Arabidopsis thaliana: one gene and its partners. The protein of the gene in region 2 interacts with the protein of the main gene of each other region in a pairwise test. Each region holds a gene or a part of one and is shown on either strand. Other genes may lie near its edges. The genes, in order: AT2G24030, RTL2 and DRB5.

Region 1 (7,922 bases), on a different chromosome or scaffold from region 2:
CATCGTTGAAACTCACTCAGGGTAATGGTAAGTATGGTACTACCATTATATAAATATAGTATGTATTAGGACTAGGGTAACATATAACAATGAAGATTTGATTGTATTCCTCACTGTTGGAATTCTCTTCAATATCGAATGGACTAGGGTAAATATAGTAATCACTGTCACTATCTTCATCAAAAGACTCCACAACTTCTTCTTTCTTCTTTCCTGGAAACAACTTAGCAAAGCAAAACAGGAAAGAAGAGAAAAGAAGTGTGAAGTCTTCAAGTGATGCAATAGCTAACAATGGTTTTAAACTTTTCTTCCTGTTTTTGGTATTGTCGTCTTAGTCATCTTGAATTCAGAATCACTGTCAGTCTCTGTTTCTTCACCAAGTGTCTTTGTCTTCTTCACTGTTCAGAGAAAAAACAGTGTTTTCTTTTTCCTCTTCCACTTCAGTGACTGCTGAGCTAATTTCTTTAGCTGTATCATAGCGCGATAGATACTGACCTTTAATATGAGGGCTCCATAGGCAAATAGTAATTGGGCATTATGCATTCATCATTCATCAAAGTATATAGTAAAATAAACCACAATACCTGTGTCTTAAAAAAAAATGGTATTATTATCTCCAGGATACAAGTAAATTACACTTTAAAGTACAATATGTGTGCTCAAGAGCAAGAATCAATCAAGAGGTCAAGCAACATAGTAGATTGGGCGTCTGTATTCATCAAAATACTCATCGCGGTGCAAGAAACAAATTGCGTAAATTGCGTATATTATTCCTGGTAAGTAGCCTAAGCAAGTCAGTATCAAACAAATGAAGAACTCAACCTACAAGTTAAACCAAAAAAACATGAGTTAGGAAAAACAAAATTTAAAAATTTTATTTTTTAGTCCCTTAATTAGTGTTTCTTTTTAACAAAAACACCACAATTATATTTTCAGTAATTGATCTCCACATTCATCATATTGATTGGTTCCCGTAAACCGGAGTGCAACCAATTTCAATTTAAATAACCGTAATCAATTCAATTTCAACTACGGTTTCGATTTCTGAAATAAGAAGCTGTGAAAGTTCAGAGATCGATAGAGAGAGATGAAACTTACAGTGCAACAGCCATGCCTGAGACAAACTCCGACAGGAGGAAGAAGAATTGCGATGAAGATCTCGCAGCAAAGCTCGCAACTACTCGCCATTAATTTACGGAGATTAGATCAGATTTGATGACTTGAAAAAGAGAAGAAGAGAGAAGCTTCACGAAACAAACAACCACAAATATAGTAGGTGTTGTGTCCAGCGACGTGAATCTTAATAATTAAGATACAGAGTGTACCGCGAGATCTTTAACCGTTTATTTTGCGGGATTTATTATATCCTACGGTTCGTTGTTGATATCTTTTTGGGTATTGACGTATGACGTCTGTTTATTGGTTGACTCACGGGAGCTTTGGTATGGCTTCACTTACCATACTCTTTCATTATTTAATCTCATTCCAGCTGATAAATGATATTACTAGATGAGCTACATTGCATTATCTTGGATTATAATTGTGCCAAGAAAAATTTGAAATTTTTTTAGTTGTAAATACAGTTAAGATTATTAAGATATCATTAAATTTAACACATGCACAATTTAGTCATTTTGATATTAAATACATCGATGTGAATGTAAATTAACAAATACAAAAGAAAAACAAACAAAGTTACATCAAGATAGGGAATCCATATGAAGAACCAAATATATAAACAAACAACAGCCGGAAGCATCCTCTAGATTACAATATTTGGATGCATAATCGAGATGCACCATTCAAATAATAAAACGAATAACACCCTAGTTGTTCGAATATGAAAAGACATACTACACTTTTTAAAGAATATAGGACACTCCAATCATTATTAACTGAGTTTAAAATGAAAATATGTCATTGTTATGATGCGAGTTAAGCGGCTTGAACTAATCGCTAGAACTTATTATATATTTCTTCTGTTGCATGAAGTTTGATGTTGTAGGTTTTTTTTCACAAAAAATTGATGGTTTGTATAACATTATTATTACTTTTAGCTGTGATTAATAGAGAAAACAGAGAAATAGAATTAATATTATTAAACAAGACAAAATAATAATCAAAAAGTATAAAAAATACCTTTTTTAATTTGTGTAAAAAACCTACAATACCAAACTTATGAAACAGAGAGAATACTACTTTTTTCGGGACGCCAATGATTTTGCCGCTTAGCTTAATAGTAATCATATGTGAGAATTTTAATCGGTGATATATTGGTAGGCAGAAAATCATCTCCATAAATTAAAGATAATTGTTCAACCACCTAAAATACATTAACCTAAATTTTAAAAATCGTTTGAAATTCTCACTTCACAAGTCAAATCCCTAGTAAGTTAGTAATCTTATATAGACAAATCGAAAGTTGAACACGATTTTAAAATTTGGTTGAATGTTTCAAAGTATAGAATTTTTGTAAGATTTTGTTTTAAGAATCTGTTTGAATTTGAATAATGCGGGTCAAACCTCTACAAAGTTACAAAAAGATAAAGATTGAACAAAGTTTTTGAATTTGATTAAAGCCCTTGAAAGATTAAAAAAAATATTAGCATAATTACCATCTACAATACATTGACTAAAATTTAAAACTTGTTTTTGGTTCCACATAAACCAAATCCCTAGTAAATTAGTAACTTTACATAGAGAAATCCGCCAAAAATTGAACACGCATATAATGTAATAATTGTAATCTCTTAAAATATTAAAACTCCCTTTAACATAATTTTTTTAATCTAAAATACATTTATTTTAAATTTTTGTTTGAAACGCCACTACACAAATCAAATCCCTAATAAATTTGTAATTTTATATAGAAAAATCCGTCAAAGATTGATCACATAATGTAATTTAAAATTTTCAATAAAACAAGTTTTTAAGGAAAATAGAAATATATTTAAATCTTATCACAGGTCAAATCTCTAATAAATTAGTAACCAAATTTGCTAAGTATTGCATATGATTAAATTCCATATTGTTTTTAAAAAATCTCTTGATATTATCACAAGATTCACAACAGTGAAAGAAAAAAGGGAAAAAACAGAAAAAAAAAAGCTATCCCTGTTATTTAAGAAAAGTGACCGACCAGAAGGTAAAAGCGATTACAAACGATAACCCTCTTTCTCCGCTCTCTCTCCAAATTTTGAATTCGATGGAATTCAGATACAGAGCCATCGATAATAATCGCCCACCTCCTGCGACGGACACGACACCATCTCCGTCGCTGAAACCGAACTTTCCTTTCTTGTCGGAACGATCAATGCCAGGTTTGTACTGTCTGTGCATCGTATTTTTTATCCATCCCCGACAGAGAACATTGTTATGATTCTGCACTTTTCGTATTTTGTTTGGTGATGCGATTGTCTATAGGAGTTGATTTGTTGAGACCTGTTTAGTTTCTGTAACGTAAATTTTGAGTGTTTGTTTTTTCATGTTTTGATTTCACGAAATTGAAATCTGTGTGAAAAATCTGAAGTTTATGAATCTTCTCATGTCGAAATGTGAAGTGATTATGAACCTTTTTCGTAGGACAACAAAGTGAGGATCAAGTTCGGGAAGCGATCAAACGAGAAATTGAGAAAGAACAAATCCGTCAAGAGATCATTATCGCAGAAGCAGCGAGAAAACGAGAGCTTATAGCTGAGGTTTTACAAGAGATGGCTATCGAGAGAGAAATGGCGATACGACGAGTTTCAGACACGGAGATGTCTCTAGAGGAAAAGCTAACTATGTGGATCAATCAAAGGAAGCTTCCAAATCAAAATCAGAATCAGTTCAACAACTTTTTCAGACAGAAGTATAGTTACATTGATTCTCTGATCAACACAGGCTCTTACAACAGTCTACTTACATCACCAATGATGCAATTGCCTCAACTTCAGCAAATGTCTGAAGCTACCGGAACATCAATGTTGGAGTCTAATAAAGAGAATTTGATTGTATTGGTGAGTTCTTTAAGTAATGGTAAACATAAATGATAGAGTATATATAAGCCTTTGTTTCATATGTGTTCTCTTTGATTTCTCTATTGCAGAATAGAGCTGATATTATAGGAGCTAAGCCTAAAGCAGACAGTGTTGGTACCATGCAATTGCCTAAACTTCAGCAAATGCCTGAGGCTACAGGAACATCAGTTTTGGAGTCTAACAAAGAGCAGTTTATTGTATTGGTAAGTGTTTTACTACGAGTGTGATATCTCATCTTTTCTATCCACGTACTTTCCTTACTTGCTTATAACAAATCCTGACCATATGTGTTCTCTTTGATTACTATTGCAGGCTAGAGCTGATCCTGTAGGAGAAAAGCGTAAAGCAGAGGATATTCAAACTGGTTTGAACGAAGATCTTCAAGTGAAAAGGCCGAAAGCAAAAGAATCAGAAGCAAAGGCGATGTCTTTGGAAACCGGAGAAATAGTCTCTTCGAAGGTTCCTTGTTCAGGGAAACTTGGCAGTGGAAAGAAAGCAGAAGGTAAGCTAAGAACTAACCAGAAGTTTTGGTGTGAGATTTGTAAAGTTGGGACCTATTGTCAAATAGTCATGAGGGATCATGAGTTAGGTAAAAAGCATAAGGCTGCTGTTACACAACAGAATGAGACACCTGAAGCTGCTTCAACCTCCTTATCCCCTGCTTCCGTTACAGCACCGCAACCAGAAGCCATTAGAGTATGTGAAAATGCTAATCCGCAGGGTCAAAAAGTAGATGAAATTGCGGCGAAAGAAACAACGGGAAAGAAGACAAAAGGTGAGAAGAAAAAGAAGGAAACGGTTTGGTGCAAAACTTGTAATATTCAGACGAATTCTGAGCAGACGATGAGGAATCATACGCTTGGGAAAAAACACATGGCTTTGCTTGAGAAACAGCAGAATAAACTCATTACAGTCCCAGTGAGATCTCTGAATGCTGATCCAGGACAGAAAGAATCAGTATCTCTAGCAATGGATGATACACAAGGTAAGGTTCATTGCTTGGAGAAGTCATAGAAGATTCTTTGTAACTTTGTTAGATTATTTTATATCAACTTTTTTTACCAAAAAAACCTTTGTTAGGTCATGACAATATACCATGAGGAATCAGAGATTGAATTCATGAATTTATTTTTATTTTTTCTTATGCAATGTGACAGTAGGAGATTTGCATGATGTTTTTTTTGTTGTGAGATTGAGAATCATGAGAATAATAACCAATGCCATTAGAGAGACCAGAATAAGTGTATAGATCATGATTGCATTTTGGAGTGTGTGTTGTCTTATGCTTTTATCATATGTTTTACAAACTTACAACTGTACAAGCAGAGTATGTTTGTTTGGACATGATACGATGATAAATGTCTTCTTTCAGGAGAGGCCCAAAATGGTTTGCCTAGAGGTATTTCAAATGTTTGGGGTGAGTCTCTCTATACATAGAGGGTATATAGACAACTCCACAATCAATCAATAGTTCTTCTCGCAATACAGCTCCACAAGACCACAACACATATGACCATGTCCCATACATAGAACCACGAAAGATGGTTCTATTGTAGCATGTTTTTTTTTTTTTTTGGTTTAATGAAGCATGTTACAATCTCTGATAAAGTTTCATCTATACTAGAAATTGAATTTTTCGAAAATCGAATCAATATCTGATGTAAGAACATTTTACGTTTGATCACTCAATTTCGTACTGAAAGTGTATAAACTTTAAAGTTGCGACTTCTTCACTAGAAAAGAATGGTACAAAAACAATCTAAGCTCAAAAAAAGAGTTAAAGTGACGTGGCGCAAAATCATTGGTTAAAAGCTTCAACAAACACAGAAGCTACGAACAAGTTGCCCGGAAAAAATTAGCTTCCGGTTTTATCTTCTCGAATTTCAGAAAAAAAGCCCTTCTCTAATATCTCTCTACTCGTACAACAATGGCGTCGATGGCTGCAACCACCAATTTCACCAAATCTATGCTCTTTCCATTCTCTCATGGTTAGTCTCTCCTAAATCCCTACTTCTATCTCTCGCTTAAGGTTTCGTGACACTGGATTTTGAGTCTTTATGTATCTGTCGTACATTAGGTTTCATCTGAATTTGCTTAATCTTTCGTAATTAGACTTTTCTATTCCATAATTGGAGGAATTGAAGCGTAATTTTGTATTTATAAGTGTTTTTGGGATTGAAATGGGCTTTAGTAATTTTTTGGTTTGAATAGTTTCAGGAAATGCGAGCTTGAATTCGCAGAGAAGAACATGGCCAAAGCAGTACAAGTCTAAAAATGGTTACAGGTCTCTTCGAGTGAATGGATTATTTGGAGGTGGAAACAAAGATAATAACAGTGAAGATGGACAATCAAAGGTTGGTACATTACATTGGTTTTTTCAAATATCAAACAGATTCTGCAATAGGTGAACATTTTAAGTTAGGCTTCATGTTGTAAAGATTCAAAGTTTATGATTTTGGAACTAATGAAGTTTGTGTGTGATCTTTCCTAGGCAGGAATATTTGGTAATATGCAGAATATGTATGAGACTGTGAAGAAAGCTCAAATGGTTGTTCAAGTGGAAGCTGTACGTGTTCAAAAAGAGTTAGCTGCGTAAGTCCGGCACATTTATCATACAAAATTTGAGGAAGTTTTCTTCTATGAGTAATGAGTTTTGCATGTTGGTTTTGTTCCAATTTCGCAGCGCAGAATTTGATGGTTATTGTGCAGGCGAGCTTGTCAAGGTCAGTTTAGAGCTTGTTTTGGCCTTAAGATAGATCAATGCACATAATAGATCAGTGAAGTATTAACTAACGTTTACTTGATGATGTAAGAACTGTGTTTTCTGATTTGTTAGTCTTTGGATGATTTGGCAAGAACTCCACTCTAGAATCTCAAAACTTTGTTTAGTCTTTATTGTTTCTGTTACAAAGTCTGATGACCTAAACCTTATGAATTTGTGTCAGGTTACGTTATCAGGTAACCAGCAACCAATCCGTACTGATATTACCGAGGCAGCAATGGAACTAGGTTCCGAAGTGAGTAACCATACGTACCTTGTTATGGAACAGTCAAAGCTAATTCATCAGTTTCTCTTGTTGATGTTGTGTGTTTTCCTTTGGCAGAAACTATCACAACTTGTCACAGAAGCATACAAGGACGCACACGCCAAGAGTGTGGTGGTATAGCAATTTGCAGACCATTTATCACAATGCAACTAAAGTATTTGTTTCTATCCATTTCTTCTAATTGAACTTTGTGAATTTTTTCACAGGCTATGAAAGAGAGAATGAGTGACCTTGCGCAGAGCTTAGGAATGCCACCGGGTCTCAGCGAAGGAATGAAGTAAGAAGCTGTTTTTGTTGTTTCATTTCAACTTTCAGGTATGAGAGGTTCGGCTTTTTTTGTTTGTTTGTATATCAGTCAGGCAGAAGCAAAGAGCTTTGTACTCTACTCTTATGGAATTATATATAAAAGATTTGAAACTTTTGGTTTTCTGCAATTTTATTCCCAAGGTATCAACACAATTGTTCTAGTATCAACATATATCTTCTTCGAATACAAGAATGCTTTTAGTGTCTTATGAAATCAAGTTGATTTGAAACATAAAAATTTCAAAAGAAAACACCGAGTTAACTCGGGTTTTGGAGGGAGCCTTCTATCTTATGTGTGTGACTAATAAGATCTTGGAAGCTCTTTGCCGGCCAAGAACGATCTTAAAAGAGTGAGAGCACGCTCGGGTTGCAACACCGGCACTTCGTGGCCCGCCCCTCTTATCGTCGCAAAGGTAAGCCCCTCATATACCTCTGTCCATCCTCCCACCTGACACCACCACCATGAGAAATCACTAGCTCTGCATAATAAGAATAGAACCACGAATTTGATGAAAATTACCTGCTTTTCGGAGTACCAAGGGTACCAGGG
Region 2 (7,700 bases):
AGCTAAATGAGTTCTCAGTAGCCTTAATTCTTCTTCTTTTTTTGACTAAATATGAGCACTTATAGATGAAGACTAGTAATGCATTGATTATGAGAATACTAAAAAGTTAAGATGAATAATCAAAAAAATTATTTGGTTAGTATTAAAATCTTCAAATGAAACTTAGTCTTAAGATTTGTTGAGATCTTTCATACTATCGAAGTCATGTAGAGTGGAGGTACGTAGCCAGGCCTAGGAGAAGAGAAGAGAAGAGAAGGAGAAGCAAGCTAAGAAACTGAAAGCCTAAAAACTTTTGAATGTTGATGATTAAAAAAGAATAGATACATGCTAACAGCTTATGCATTTTTGAAATAGTTTTTGTTAACTGTCGTGTAGCTTGTGTGTAAATATGTCGACGACAAGTCAATGATGTCACACACACTACACAAAACAAAACACTGCTTCAAACTACCTTCAACTTCGAGTCCATTACTATAAGCAAAAGTCCCAAATCAAAACATCAATTTTCTTGTTCTTGTCAGCTACTCAAACCTCAACATGTTACATATATTTTTTCAGATAAAACAAATCATTCTCATCGTTCTTATCTGACCAGGAATAATTCAATGGAAGTATGAGTTTGACTCGGTTTCCTTTTGATATTAGTCGTACTTTTCAACATTTTACCTAGATAGAGCCGTCCTCTTATAATTATTCATCATTTCATGCTTCTCATGTTACATTTCTGCAATTTTTCAACTCTTTGATTTTATATAATCATTTGTTTCCTTTCTTAATCAAATCCATCTGGCTAACATTATTTAGCTTGATGCAATTAAGGTATATTATCTAATGAGGTGATGCTTCCACGTCTTTATATTATTATAATCCCTCAACAATTTTAAAAAAAGATCCTGACTTTCAATTTTCTCTCTTGTTTCTTCTTTTGATCATCTTCAACAAAAAAAAGTTACGATCTTTCTCTCCGGGTCATCGGAATTTGAGCTAGCTTAGCTAAAGTTCCGATCTTTCCTCTCTGGGTCGTCGGAATTTGAGCTTTTTAAAATCATGGGAAATTGTTTTGCCAAGAACCATGGATTGATGAAGCCACAGCAAAATGGTAATACCACTAGATCAGTTGAAGTAGGAGTAACCAACCAAGATCCACCGTCGTATACTCCACAAGCGAGAACCACTCAGCAGCCGGAGAAACCAGGTTCCGTGAATAGTCAACCACCACCGTGGAGGGCGGCGGCTGCAGCACCAGGACTAAGTCCCAAGACCACCACTAAGAGCAATTCAATACTAGAGAACGCTTTCGAAGACGTGAAGCTCTTTTACACATTGGGTAAAGAGCTAGGTCGTGGTCAATTTGGGGTAACGTATCTGTGCACAGAGAATTCCACGGGGAAGAAGTACGCTTGCAAATCGATCTCGAAGAAGAAGCTGGTGACTAAAGCTGATAAGGATGATATGAGGAGAGAGATTCAGATAATGCAGCATTTGAGTGGGCAGCCTAATATTGTGGAGTTTAAAGGAGCTTATGAGGATGAGAAAGCTGTGAATTTGGTGATGGAGCTTTGTGCTGGTGGTGAATTGTTTGATAGAATCATTGCTAAGGGACATTACACTGAGAGAGCTGCTGCTTCTGTTTGTAGACAGATTGTGAATGTTGTCAAGATTTGTCATTTCATGGGTGTGTTGCATAGAGACTTGAAGCCTGAGAATTTCTTGCTCTCTAGCAAAGATGAGAAGGCTTTGATCAAGGCTACTGATTTCGGATTGTCTGTCTTTATTGAAGAGGGTAAAATAATCAGACTTTTCTTTAGGGTTTAGTACATTTTGATGAAGTTGGTTGTCTCTAGGACATAGATAGGATACGTATCAAGGTTCTGGTTATATTGGTATCTTGTGTCTCTTGGTTCCGTGAATTGCATGAAGAAGTTCAGACCTTTCTTGATATACGGACTAGGCTAGAGACCGCTGTTTTTGTTCTCTGATAGAGTTTGATGTTTCTTACTCTTCATCATTTGGTGTTTCTTCTTCTTGTCTTTGCAGGAAAAGTATATAGAGATATTGTTGGGAGTGCATACTATGTTGCTCCAGAAGTCTTACGTCGCAGATATGGGAAAGAAGTTGATATCTGGAGTGCTGGAATCATCTTATACATTCTACTCAGCGGTGTGCCCCCGTTTTGGGCTGGTAACGCGATATTCTCTCTTCTTTGTTCCTTTCCCTTTTGAGATTTATATGTTGTGAATAAAAAGCTGAAAACAGAACATTGGATATGCAGAGACTGAGAAAGGAATATTTGATGCTATATTGGAAGGCCATATCGACTTTGAGAGCCAACCATGGCCGTCAATCTCCAGCAGTGCCAAAGATTTGGTACGTAGAATGTTGACTGCGGATCCAAAAAGGCGGATTTCTGCTGCTGATGTTCTTCGTAAGTACCTTTTGAAGACATTTTACGGAGCCACAACACAATGCAAAGTTCTGGAAGATTCCATTATCGGTTCCTTCTTGATTCTGAGATTTGCTCTACTGTTTTGTGCAGAGCATCCATGGCTTAGAGAAGGTGGAGAAGCATCAGACAAGCCAATTGACAGTGCTGTTCTCTCAAGGATGAAACAATTTAGAGCAATGAATAAGCTAAAGAAACTTGCTTTAAAGGTGAAGTCAAGATTTTTCACATATGCAATGTGATTCTGTGGTTGTGGTCCTCTTTTTCGTTATACTCATGATGAGATTCTAACAGGTCATAGCGGAGAATATTGACACGGAAGAAATCCAAGGATTGAAGGCAATGTTTGCTAACATAGACACTGACAACAGTGGCACAATCACTTATGAAGAACTGAAAGAAGGATTAGCCAAATTGGGATCTAAACTCACAGAGGCAGAAGTGAAACAGCTCATGGATGCTGTAAGTTGGTCAAAAACTATATTTTCCCCCATTCCGTTCCTTTACTTTAAGAACTCAGATTCTCGGGTTTGTGATTAGGCTGATGTTGATGGGAACGGGTCCATCGACTACATAGAGTTTATTACAGCAACAATGCATAGGCACAGGCTTGAAAGTAATGAGAATCTTTACAAAGCTTTCCAGCATTTTGACAAAGACAGCAGCGGGTAAGTGACCTGTTTCTTCTCGATGTTATTCATTCTTAACCGGTATATATATAAGCAAGATGGTGAGCCTTTTCTTGGGATCAAAATGTGTACACAGATACATTACAATAGACGAACTGGAATCTGCATTGAAGGAATATGGAATGGGAGATGATGCAACAATCAAAGAGGTTTTGTCAGATGTCGACTCCGATAACGTAAGTTAAAATAATTCATCTCCTCTCTTTATCTTCTTCTTCTTCTTCTTATAAGGAAACTGAACTCTGTCCATAACGGTTTGCCTCTCTTGCAGGATGGTAGAATCAACTATGAAGAGTTCTGCGCAATGATGAGAAGTGGAAATCCACAACAACAACAACCTCGGCTGTTCTAGTGGACATTGTTGCTGGATTAAAAGTCTTTTTGTTTGTATCTAATCCAGAAAAATCAGGAGCTGAATTAATGTTTGTTCAGACAAAAACCACGTAAAGAGGAAGATACTCAAAACTCTGATTGCTTGTGTTTTGTATTTTGTTCTTCACTTCTTCTGTTTTGTCCTTTGTGTTCTGTACTCAGGCTGTTGTGATATGAGAGAAAGAGAGGTTTCATTTTTACCGTTAAGATTTTGATCCTGACTGTGTTAACATTTTACCTCAGTTCCTCCACTTTTAATGTGATTCTCCATTCCATCAAATGTCAAATCAACGAAACAACTGCTAAAGCAGAGCTTTCCTATATTTTAACATATTCCGGAGGCGCAAGTATCTTTGGCAAATGGCTTGGTTCGCCTACAAATTCTCCGTAGTGGGGGTACAAGAGACTAATTAACCCCAGGCTAGTAGGTTCAAAGAAAAACATAAAATTCGAAAGTGATTCATTAGAGGGTGTTTTTGGTTCAAGGGTAAATACAATTTTTAATTTTACAAATGATACAAGACCATTAGAGATAATGAGATTTTCTCAAGGCTCTAATCATGTGATACGCCGAGGAGCTTTCTGCTTTCTTTATCTTGGACTGTTCATCTCCCTTCATATATAATGTTTTTTCTTCTGTTATCTTAATCTTAGCAGAGCAAACAAATCTCTTTCCCTGTACCGAGCTTCTATCTTCCTCAACGCTGAAAAAATGTGAAAAACAATAACAAAATGTTTTTAAACAATGGCTTATCAAATGTGTTCTGCTTCTTGAGATTATAAGACTTTAGACTACTCAAGTATGTGAATGCTTCCAAGATGTAGGAGTAGGATATACCTGTAGATAGGCTTAGGCCACTTTTTCTTTAAGCAAATCTCGTTCAACTTCGTTTTAGCATGTGTAAGTTGAATCTCTACACTATCTTCATCAATAACCATTTCAACGGGAAAAACTTCTGACAACTTCCGTAACGCTTCTTTAGCAGCGATCAGCCTTGCGATATCTTTATTCTCAGCTCGGCCTGAAGCCAAAAGCTCATCATCAAGATATATAACAGCAATACTGACATTACCATCTTTCCAATTCTTGATGTCGATTCGCTTCTTATGTTTATGACATAATTTAAAAAGCATAGACACAGGTTGAGGTTGCTTCTGCAAATCGTCCAATGTAACTATCGGTTCCAAAAGACCCCTAAAGATCTGCAAAATCGACAATAAGAAAGAAGCCCTTAACTTTCAGTAACAAAGACAAAACACACAAGAGTAGATCTAAAGAAGAAGTAGACACAGACCACCCATAGTCTTTGTAGATCAAAGTTGACATCAACATACACAGCTCCAGCTAAAGACTCAAAAAGATCAGCTAGAACTTTAGGGGCTTTGACTAATCCACCATATGACACTGACAAATCATCTTCTTTCCCCACCGCCTCTGAGAACTCTTTAACCTATCAAACGACATCAACACACACAACTTGGTGGTGAAGATATCACAAGAATCACTCTGTTTCACATAAAGAATCACTCTGTTTCCAGGGTTCTTCAATGCAAAGACAAGTTTTATGGATTACCTTTTCATCTAAAGAAGGAGCATTGCGTCGAAGAAATGAATAGAGACCATGATTAAGAGAGACACGAGCGAGTTTCTCAGTACTAACATTAGCTGCTCTCAACAGAGACAAGTCGTGTGGCTCAAGGCTAGGGTACGTTAGGTATAGGTAATTTGAGATTGCTAAACCAATAGCACTATCGCCTATGAACTCTAGCCGCTCGTAAGAAGGAAAGTCTGTACACGAGGTGTGTGTAATCGCTTCCTTGAGAAGACTCTTGTTACTGAATTTGTAGTTGAGTATCTTCTCTACTGCTTCCATAGACTCCATCTCCGACGAAACCGGAACGCTTGGTGCTGATGGGGAAAGAGAATTGTAGAAGCGGTGGATATCGGCCGAAGACGGCAGTGGTGATGGTGGACGGTGAGGAAGTGAATTGGATAAACTACAGCGAGTGATGGCCGGGAAATTGTACTCCGGTGAGATAGAGTGATCCATGGTAGAGAGAATCTAAAGAGACGCCAAGTCTTCTCTGTTTCAATTTTCCTTTTAATTCTTTTTGTTTTCCTAATTCTATTAGTTTTGACTTTTTCATTGACTATAGTCCTCAGGACAAATAAGGAAAGTATATATATATAATTTATTATATTGGGGCAAAATATAATTAAAAACTTTTATATAAAGGAAATGGATTAAGCTTTTTTCTTAAAGGGCAAAAATTGCCTAAACCCTAAAGCTGAGATTTTTCTTGCTCAGTATTGGGTCGATGACGATGAAGTGTGTGTTTTGTTGATAATCTCGAGTGTGGGTGATCGAAGAGCAAAGGAAGTCCCAAGGTTAGCTTCTTATTTTGTTTATTTCGCGATTCTAATTGATCTACTTTGTATTGAGCAATTTTTTGAGAGATTCATGTTTTTGAAATCGTGTTATTGGATGTTCTTGTGAGATTATCGTTGTAAATGTAAATGGTTTCGAAGTTTTTGTTTGAATGGATTGGGATTTTTGTGCGAGTGTTGTTTTGTTATGTGTTACATTTTGAAGTTGTGTTTGGTTTTTGGTTGGGATTTTAGGTTTTTGATCTCATGGAGGGAGAAGAGAGTTTGTTGGATGCTATAAATGAAGAAGACGGATTTGAAAACTTGGAGGATGTTGAAATGGTTGATGTTGAAGAAGGGGAGATTGTTGTGGATCATGATTTAGATTCTGGAGAGAGGCAAAATGATGATGGTGATGGAGTCAAAGATAAAGAGGCGATTTTGGGTGAGAAGAATGGACTGCAACAGACAAACAAGAACAAGAGGAAGAAGAAGAAGAAAAAGAGAAAAGGCCCTGTGATGGACAAACCCATGAGTGTAGACTGGTAAGTGTTCTTTTTCTATATGCTAATATTGTTGTGTAAATTCTTGGTATAGCTGCCTGATCTTGGCTATGGTTGAAACGTTGCTCATTGTTTGATGTTTTGTTATGGCAGGTTTGTTAGGGATACTTGTAGACGCCTTAAGGAGAAGAAGTCTTACATGATATACACAGCTGTTGGGTGTCTCGGAATTGCTGCCTTAAGTGATCTTGTCAATGAGGTATACACTACTTCAAGATGTTTTCTGTGTTATTCCAGTTAAAACCTTGTTTGATCTGTGTGTGACCAGCAGTGGCAATCTTGTTTAGCTGTATTGTTTCACCTGCAGTTCAAGATATTCCTAGTGGAGCCTTTTTTGCTGCTTGTGCCTTTTGCTGAGATGTAGATGGTAAAACTTCATATTTTAGGTTGATTTTTTTTTCCCTTCTCTTGTGCACATCTGTCTTTTCTCTGTTTTTATTGATCTAGACAATTTGTATGAAACCATAAGTGGATAGATGAAGTTTTTATGATCAACAGTGTCAACCATATTTTCATGATCGAGACCATAAGTGGTTTGAGTGAGACCAACAGTGTCAACCTTATTTTCATGATCGAGAAATGACTGTCCACATATTCACTACTGCTTTGTGGATTGATCCTTCTGTTACTCCCACTGTATGCTTTTAAGTTGGTTAAGAATATTTCTATTCCACTTCGCAAGATTCTTGCCAAAGATATGATTGATGATGGCAAGAAATATTTTTTCTTAGGTGGTAGCAATTGAGACCTGTGGAGGTCAGGTGACTGCTGATGGCACTAGGAAACGGACAAGTGGTGGTGTATTGTGGAACATCATCAAAGCGAGACAGCCTGAAGCTTATAGAGAGATAATGAAAAAGACCAAGGAGTTTGAGGTTTGTACTTGCCTATCATATCACAACATTCGTAAATATATCCTGCTTTCTTAGCTTAAATGTGAAATAGCAGTCATGAAGATGTTATATCACTGTTTTCTATCTTACACCTCTTTCTCTCTTGCTCTTTGTCTTACGCTTTCAAACTTTGCAGAAACAATTTAGGCAACCAAACACGAGACCAAAATCAGGGCCTAAAAGAGATCAGGGTAGCTCCTCCGAAGGACTTGCCTCTGGAAATGTATCTGCTGATGAAGCTCTGGTGAGCGAGATGTGTGTTATGCCGGTAGCTGAGCAAACTGAATCCAAACCGGAAAAGGAAAGGAAATCTGTTCATGAGAGGATCAGGGTACCTGTTTCATATGATGACCTTTTCAGAGATGCACCTTT
Region 3 (7,797 bases), on a different chromosome or scaffold from region 2:
GTAAAACAAAATGTTTAAATTTCTTTTCCGTTATCGAATCTCTTTTATGAATAACAAGGTCGAGTACTCAAGGTAAGGAAACAGACCATTAGAAAAGTGCCACGTCAGCTTATTTCGTTCTTCACTTTTAGCTTCTGAAAAGTACTTTACCTGAACTAAAACGACGGTGACAGACTGACTCCAGTAGCTGCTAACAGTCGATTTTTAAAATATTATATTTATTTGCAGGAAAAAAAAAAAGTGAAGGAAGAAGAAGAAGTTGGAGAAGCCAAGAGCAAATCTAATTCTCTGACTACTCTCATTTTCATGTCGGAGACTTGCCGAAATCTAAAGAATTTCTTCAACGGAGACTGAAAAGCTTTCTCTTTTCTTCTTTCGTTATCTTCGTTTTAGTGTTTTCCCCTTTGCTTACATTTGAAGAAATCGAGAGCAAGCGATAGAAAGTGAGAGAGAGAGATGTATGTGGTGACGCCTCCTCAAAGATCCGGTTTTGGATCCGATTGTGATTTACGGGTTTACCAAACATGGAAAGGAAGCAATGTGAGTTTTAATGTGAAAGCTTTAGGTTTTGGAATTACTTGCTTCTGTGTTTATACTTGAGCTAGTTTTCTGTTATTTTTCCTATTATTGTGTATAAATTAATTATTAATCCGTTCATGGGCTCAGTTTACTCTGTTTCCAATCTTGTAAAGCTTAAAAATTGGGACTTGGGTTTGTGTTAGAAGTGTAGCTTTCTGGGTAGTTGTCTACATTTAATCATGAAATCTTTACCTTTAATCAATACCTTAGGACATTATCTGAATATGCTTGCTACATTTATAGGAATGCTTCTTCATACAAAGGTTATATAGTTGATGCTGTCTGTATATTGCTTTCAATGTCGAATTTAAATCTGGTTTAGTAGTAACCTAGTGGAATTAAACATTTTGAGGTTTGTTCCTTAAATCCTTCTACCCAAAGTGTTAACATATTTTCTAAATTTGTCCCATTTCTGCAGATATTTTGTCTTCAAGGAAGGTTTATCTTCGGGCCGGATGTAAGATCACTTGGTCTGACCATAAGTCTTATTGTGGCACCTGTTACAATTTTCTGCATCTTCGTCGCTAGCAAACTAATGGATGACTTCTCTGATAGTTGGGGAGTCTCAATAATCCTTGTTGCTGTTGTCTTCACCATTTATGTGAGTACAAAAGTTTAGCTTTGCATTGTAAAACGTTTTGTGACTGGATCATTCATAACAATTAATGCTTCCCTCAGGATTTGATTTTGCTGATGCTTACATCCGGAAGAGATCCAGGGATTATCCCAAGAAATTCTCATCCTCCAGAACCAGAAGTTGTTGATGGCAACACGGGCTCGGGAACAAGCCAAACTCCAAGATTGCCTCGTGTTAAAGAAGTGGAAGTTAATGGAAAAGTATTCAAGGTCAAGTACTGTGATACTTGCATGCTCTATAGACCGCCTCGCTGCTCACATTGTTCGATTTGCAACAACTGTGTAGAAAGGTTTGACCATCACTGTCCTTGGGTTGGTCAATGTATTGCTCAAGTAAGTTTCTCGGTTTTTCGTTTTCCTGTCCGTTAGTTTCTGACATCAGTCTATATAATTCATCTCATTCTCCTTGGGAATTTGCAGAGAAACTATCGATTCTTCTTCATGTTTGTCTTCTCCACGACTCTTCTCTGTGTATATGTGTTCGCCTTTTGTTGTGTCTACATAAAGAAGATCAAAGAGTCCGAAGATATAAGTATCTTGAAAGCAATGCTCAAAACTCCAGCTTCCATTGCTCTGATACTCTACACATTCATATCTACATTCTTCGTTGGAGGCTTAACATGTTTCCATCTCTATCTCATCAGCACAAATCAGGTACCCTAATCATTTGCCTCTTTCTGAAAAAACCTCTCTCATTCGATATGCGTGTTTAATCGTTTGATCTTTCTTTATTCTGTAGACTACATATGAGAATTTCAGATACAGTTATGATCGGCATAGCAACCCACATAACAAAGGAGTGGTTGATAACTTCAAAGAAATCTTTTTTTCTCCAATACCTCCTTCAAAGAACAACTTCAGGGCTATGGTACCAAGGGAAAATCCAATGCCGTCGAGATCAGTTGTTGGCGGTTTTATGAGTCCAAACATGGGAAAGGCCAATGATGATATTGAAATGGGGAGGAAGGGTGTTTGGGCAATGGCTGAACATGGTGATGGCAAAGATGGCAATAACAATGAACGGTTTCATGTTAACGACAATGAGTTAAACGAGTTATCACCAGACATGGGGAACATAGTGAATGGTGATGAGCAAATCAATAGGCCAAACAATCACCCGAGGAACGCAAACTGGGAAATGTCACCAGAAGTTATGGCCTTATCAGCAAGAAGAGCTTAGAAGCAGGTTAAGAGAAAATTGAAAGGTGTTTTAAATGTTTGATGTATTGATGTGTTGTGTGTTTACACGGGAATCAATTGTGAATTGGTGTGATATTTTCAGATGTTATGAGTATTTTTAGTTGTTCTTCAGACATTTAAATCGTAAATCATTGTGTGTTAGTGTAATCTATGACTTATCTTTCACAGAATGAGAAAACAAAATGAATACCGACGATTTTCATACTGTACTTTGCATATGATAAAAATTGCAGAAACTGAATTTTCAGACAAGTGGACCAGAAGACCAGACAACTCTTATTATAGTCTTCATTGAAGCACGGCTCTGTAATAAATGCAAAAGAGCTCTAAAGGCTTCTTATTTGTTCTTCAAAGCTCTAAAGTCTAAAGGTTAGAGATTTAACATCACAAGCCAACATTTTTGGTTTAGGAAATTGAAGATTAGCAATAATATAAAGTTTTTTTGGCATTGAACAAAGACAAAACACAATGAACATAATCAACAAATTGGTCAAACTAAACATTAATAAGTGCCTCAAAGTATCAGACTAAATCATTTTCACTAACATTTATGAAAAAATAACTGTTATTAACTGAGGACGAAGGTAACTGACCAGTCAAACATCATAGACAAAGACAATAAAGAGAGTCAATAGCATTGTTCATAATTGTTATTTGTATGCACATGTTATAAATTATATAAAAAGACTAACCTTATTTCAATTGAGATGTCACTATTACTGTTTTAGCATCCTCTTCTACTCTTTATTTAGAACCTTTAGTACCTTACCATGTGAGTGAAGAGTTCAAAAACCTCTGCAAAAACTTTCTTTTTTATCTCTCTCTCTTCTTTAAACTTACTTTCAAACACTAAATAGCCAAAACTTAAGATACCAAATTTCAACAGGTCGGCTTTTTCGTTTGTCTTCTCTTAAGACTTTACCAAAAGAGATTTGTGGTTTCTGGAGTTGACTTTGGTTGATTTTGGTGTATTTACAGGGGAAAAAATGTATAAGAATCAGCTTCAAGAGCTTGCACAGAGAAGTTGTTTCAACTTACCATCATATACTTGCATAAGAGAAGGACCAGATCATGCTCCAAGATTCAAAGCTTCTGTTAACTTCAATGGTGAGATATTTGAGAGTCCCACTTACTGTTCTACTCTCAGACAAGCTGAGCATGCAGCTGCTGAAGTTTCCCTTAATGTCCTTTCGTCTAGAGTCCCTTCAAAGTCTCTAACTGCTAAGATTCTTGTAAGTTCTCTGTCTTTTCTTCTTGGTTTTGATCATACACAAAAAAATGCAAAAAGAGTAACATCGTATATCTTCATGTCACTCTTTATACAAGGATGAGACAGGGATTTACAAGAACCTGCTTCAAGAGACAGCACATAGAGCTGGTCTTGATCTACCAATGTACACAAGTGTGAGATCAGGATCTTGTCACTTCCCAGGTTTCTCTTGTACTGTTGAACTTGCTGGGATGACGTTTACAGGAGAATCAGCAAAGACAAAGAAACAAGCTGAGAAAAACGCAGCCATTGCAGCTTGGTCCTCTTTGAAGAAAAGTATATATAACTATCTTCCAAATTGTTCCATCAACCCCAAAAAAGCTTCTCACTTTTCTACTTGAAACCATTTTTCTGTTTCTCTACTGTGCAGTGTCAAGCTTGGATTCACAAGATGAAGAGAAGGAACAAGAAGCAGTAGCAAGAGTACTCTCAAGATTTAAACCCAAAGAAGTAAGAAGACGAGAGACAACAAACCAATGGAGAAGAAGAACAAGTCAACAAGATTCAAACAAGGATTTGTTGATTGAGAGATTGAGATGGATCAATCTTTTGACCAATCAAGCTTCTTCATCATCATCAACATCAACACCGAATCAACACAAAAACTCCAGTTTCATCTCTCTAATTCCCCCACCACCACCACCTAAATCCTCCAAAATTTTGCCATTTATCCAGCAATACAAAGACAGATCATCACAAGAAGCTAAGACAGAGACAGCGACAGAGATGATCAACAGCAAAGCCAAAGTCAATGAAACATCAACCAGATTGAGTAAGCAAATGCCCTTTTCCGACATGAACAGATACAACTTTGTCGGAGGGTGTAGCGTAAACCCTTATAGTCTGGCTCCAGCGGTTCAAATGAGATCAGTGATTCCAGTTTTCGCAGCTCCACCACCGAAACCAAACCCCAACCTTAACCCATCATCATTATCATCATCAGTCAATGAATTCACCTCATCCAATAATTCCTGCTCTGTTCTGAATACGCCGGGATTGGGAGGCCAAGAGAAGAAGAATCTAACTCGCGAAATGATCAAACTTGGTTCAGAATCGAGAATTTTGGATCAAACCCATGATAGTTAGCTAAATTTGGTTAATGGGTTAATCTCAAATTAAATCCTTGTCAAGTGTTTGTCACATAGATAAATTATAGACCAGTATGTTTCCGTTTCTTGAATGTGTTCTTGTTTTTTTTGAAGTGTTTGAATTTTCTAAAAGTCCGACATGAACTTTGAATGCTTGCGAATTGCACAGAGAACGAAAACAAAGAGAGAGCATTAATTAGGGAAGAAGATGAAGAAGAGAAATGGGAGTTTGCAAGAAAACAATTAATGGGTTTTGTTTTGTCTTCCTCCATTAATGCGCCGAATGCTCTGCTCTGCTTCCCACTCTTCATCATTAATGGTTTTGCTCTGTAACGTCGGTTCCAACAAATAAACTTAATAATTCGAAATTATAAATTTCACAAGTTACATTTTTCTTTGTGTAAAGATTTTGGACCATATAAACATTATGGTTTGCGAGAATGACGTTTGTGTCATTATCCGATTTAGATCCGTATAATCTATGTTGTTAGGAACTCAGGATTTTGCTCAAATATTCAAATTGGTATATTTTGACTTTGATGAAATTATTTTGGTCAGACCACGAGACTTGATTGCTTCTCAATTATTTGGGCCGGTCCATTAATTTGGGGCCATCTAACTTTTACGTGGGCCGTAACAAACCGAAACATAAAACTAGTGACCTACCTAACCATATTACCCCAACCGGACAGGAGGTAACGAGTTAACCAGCCACTTGTTCGGCTTGGAAATTTTTTTAATCGTCTGACAATTTATGACGTGGATCCAAGTAGCAAGAAAGCTAACATGTTGTTGGATCTGATCTGATCCACGAACCTACCATAAATCAATTTTCTCATTATCTTGACAGGTATATCTTGCATTATTATACGTCAGATTTTCGTGGATACAATATTTTTAAAATGCAATCCATATTTACTTGATTTCCAAAAATGGGTTTTTTCAAAAGCACAATTTCCAAAAATGGATCACAATTTATTAACGGATTCTCAACTTGCAAATCAAGCTTAAATTATAATCTTTTTTAACTCAGAATTTAATATAATCTTTTTTTACTCAGAATTGATTAAACTAACAGTTATATTGATCTTGAAATCACCTTTAATATCTTGTTTTAAATCTTGTGTCTTGCAAATCACGGTTCATAAATATTGGAGAATCGAATAAATAAATTATTTCTATTCCTATATTGCGTAATTTTATTTTTTGACTCTCTATTGCGTAATTACACTCGTCAGATTTCGTGGATGAGTACTCAGTAAATCTTATTTTAATTAAAAAGCTTACTAGTCTAATTGCTGCAAATTTGACCAACTATACAGTTGTGTTGCATTACAATATTTCAAACCATTAATAAAACGTGTAAAACATATTTGGAGTTGAATGAAACTACATTTTCCTTTATGTCAAACGCACTTTTCAAGATATATCTCGAACAATTTACGTATTATTTTCACAAATTTTGTTCCACAATAATTTAGGTTATTTTGGTTTTTGTTGTTGTTTTTTGAGTCTGAAATTTCAAATTTGTATTTTTTTTTAATATATATTTAGGCAGGAATCTTTAAAATGAAACCAATAATATATTCACTAAGTTTGGAAAAAAACCAAAATTTCATAATTAACGGGACAATGACTAAGCTGTGGAAAAGATAACATAATCTCCCAATGACTCAATGCCACGTATAAGATGAGAACCGTACTCTTCTGTGTTCGTACCAGATCCCTCAAAAGGCGGGAAGAAACCATCAAGAAAGGCACATTGCTGACGTGGAATGGAATATTCGAACACGCATATCCAGCTCCTTCCTCCTTTTTCCTCATATCCCTTTTTTCTCAATATAAATACTCTGCAAAAAAACACCCACAAATCCTCACACAAAAACGTTTTCGAAATCCCTAATCTACTCTCTCTTCTCTATATCTCTACTCTTGAGAAATGGCTCTTAGAACTGTGCTCGTCTCCGACGTCCCTAGCCTCCCGGATTCTGTCTACGGTTTATCCGAAGGTATTTCTCTCTCTGTCTCTCTCTCTCTGTTTCGTCGGCTATTGAGCTGTTTTCGTTTCTGATGATCTTGTCTTTGATTACAGGTTTAGAGTTGAGCAAACCGACGTCGTTTAGGTTACCGGGGTTTTCGGTGATTGGACATAGAGGAATCGGTATGAATGTGTTGCAATCGTCTGATCGGAGAGCGAGAGGTGTTAAAGAAAACTCGATTCTTTCATTCAATTCCGCCGCTAAGTATCCGATTGATTTCATTGAGTTCGATGTTCAGGTTGGTACTCCGATCTATGTAATCAACTTTAGGATTTGAATGAGACAGAGGATTGGGGTTTTATGTTTATGTTTTTGTGTGTGGAAGAAGATTCTGATTTAGATATCTATTTATAGATTCTTAGAAATTGAAATGAAAAATAAGAACATGAAGATTTGAAGAAAGAGAGAGAGATGGCACATAGAGAAGCATTCCAAGCTTTGTGTGGTTTTTCTTTTGTAGGTGACAAAAGATGATTGCCCTGTCATTTTCCATGATGATTTCATCTACTCTGAAGAAAATGTAAGTCTACATTGCTTTCTTCATAGATCTTGGTTTTATATTTCTGGATCTTGTCTTCATGGATCTGGTGTTTGTGTGTTATGGTTCAGGGTATTGTTAATGAGAGTAGAGTGACGGATCTGAGTCTGTCTGAGTTTCTCCTTTATGGACCTCAGAAGGAAACTGAGAAAATAGGGAAGACACTGATGAGGAAATCTAAAGAAGGGAAGGTTTTGAAATGGGACGTTGATTTGGATGATTCTCTTTGTACGTTGCAAGAAGCTTTTGAACAAGTTGAACAAACTCTTGGGTTCAATATCGAGTTGAAATTTGATGATCAGACCGTCTATGAACGAGAGTTTCTTGTCCATATCCTGAGATCAGTACTACAGGTATGCTCAATACTAGTTCCGTATTCTTCCTTCTTTTTCTTGTTGGAGTATGAATATTTATTAGGGTCCAATAGAACCATTTGTTAAAAGTGCT

The links.
Region 1: the proteins of RTL2 (region 2) and AT2G24030 interact in a two-hybrid assay, tested with the Arabidopsis thaliana proteins (one large-scale study listed by BioGRID).
Region 3: the proteins of RTL2 (region 2) and DRB5 interact in a two-hybrid assay, tested with the Arabidopsis thaliana proteins (one large-scale study listed by BioGRID).

Annotation. Positions count from the first base shown.
Region 1 is NC_003071.7:10,217,294-10,225,215, reverse strand, and holds AT2G24030 (zinc ion binding / nucleic acid binding protein), read left to right. Parts: upstream 1-3,151; 5' UTR 3,152-3,205; coding exon 3,206-3,320; exon of another isoform or gene 3,321-3,582; coding exon 3,583-3,998; intron 3,999-4,087; coding exon 4,088-4,222; intron 4,223-4,331; coding exon 4,332-5,033; 3' UTR 5,034-5,155; downstream 5,156-7,922. Other genes in the region: AT2G24040 (Low temperature and salt responsive protein family), read right to left, coding at 685-822, 1,099-1,188; AT2G24020 (Putative BCR, YbaB family COG0718), read left to right, coding at 5,947-6,007, 6,231-6,373, 6,511-6,611, 6,703-6,742, 6,965-7,036, 7,124-7,180, 7,273-7,347; scpl23 (serine carboxypeptidase-like 23), read right to left, coding at 7,674-7,820, 7,893-7,922.
Region 2 is NC_003074.8:7,115,341-7,123,040, forward strand, and holds RTL2 (RNAse THREE-like protein 2), read right to left. Parts: upstream 5,684-7,700; 5' UTR 5,556-5,683; coding exon 5,079-5,555; intron 4,956-5,078; coding exon 4,800-4,955; intron 4,708-4,799; coding exon 4,343-4,707; intron 4,209-4,342; coding exon 4,031-4,208; 3' UTR 3,851-4,030; downstream 1-3,850. Other genes in the region: CPK9 (calmodulin-domain protein kinase 9), read left to right, coding at 1,048-1,783, 2,038-2,181, 2,273-2,425, 2,537-2,652, 2,738-2,905, 2,984-3,111, 3,209-3,308, 3,404-3,484; AT3G20430 (phosphorylated adapter RNA export-like protein), read left to right, coding at 6,140-6,417, 6,529-6,634, 7,167-7,310, 7,465-7,700. UniProt on the Arabidopsis thaliana protein: Ribonuclease that cleaves double-stranded RNA (dsRNA). Required for 3'-external transcribed spacer (ETS) cleavage of the pre-rRNA precursors.
Region 3 is NC_003076.8:16,435,146-16,442,942, forward strand, and holds DRB5 (dsRNA-binding protein 5), read left to right. Parts: upstream 1-3,119; 5' UTR 3,120-3,301; intron 3,302-3,393; 5' UTR 3,394-3,401; coding exon 3,402-3,647; intron 3,648-3,741; coding exon 3,742-3,961; intron 3,962-4,055; coding exon 4,056-4,771; 3' UTR 4,772-4,910; downstream 4,911-7,797. Other genes in the region: AT5G41060 (DHHC-type zinc finger family protein), read left to right, coding at 457-540, 998-1,180, 1,258-1,548, 1,636-1,869, 1,955-2,395; AT5G41071 (uncharacterized protein), read left to right, coding at 4,924-5,106; GDPD2 (PLC-like phosphodiesterases superfamily protein), read left to right, coding at 6,713-6,782, 6,866-7,050, 7,273-7,332, 7,422-7,703. UniProt on the Arabidopsis thaliana protein: Binds double-stranded RNA. May be involved in RNA-mediated silencing.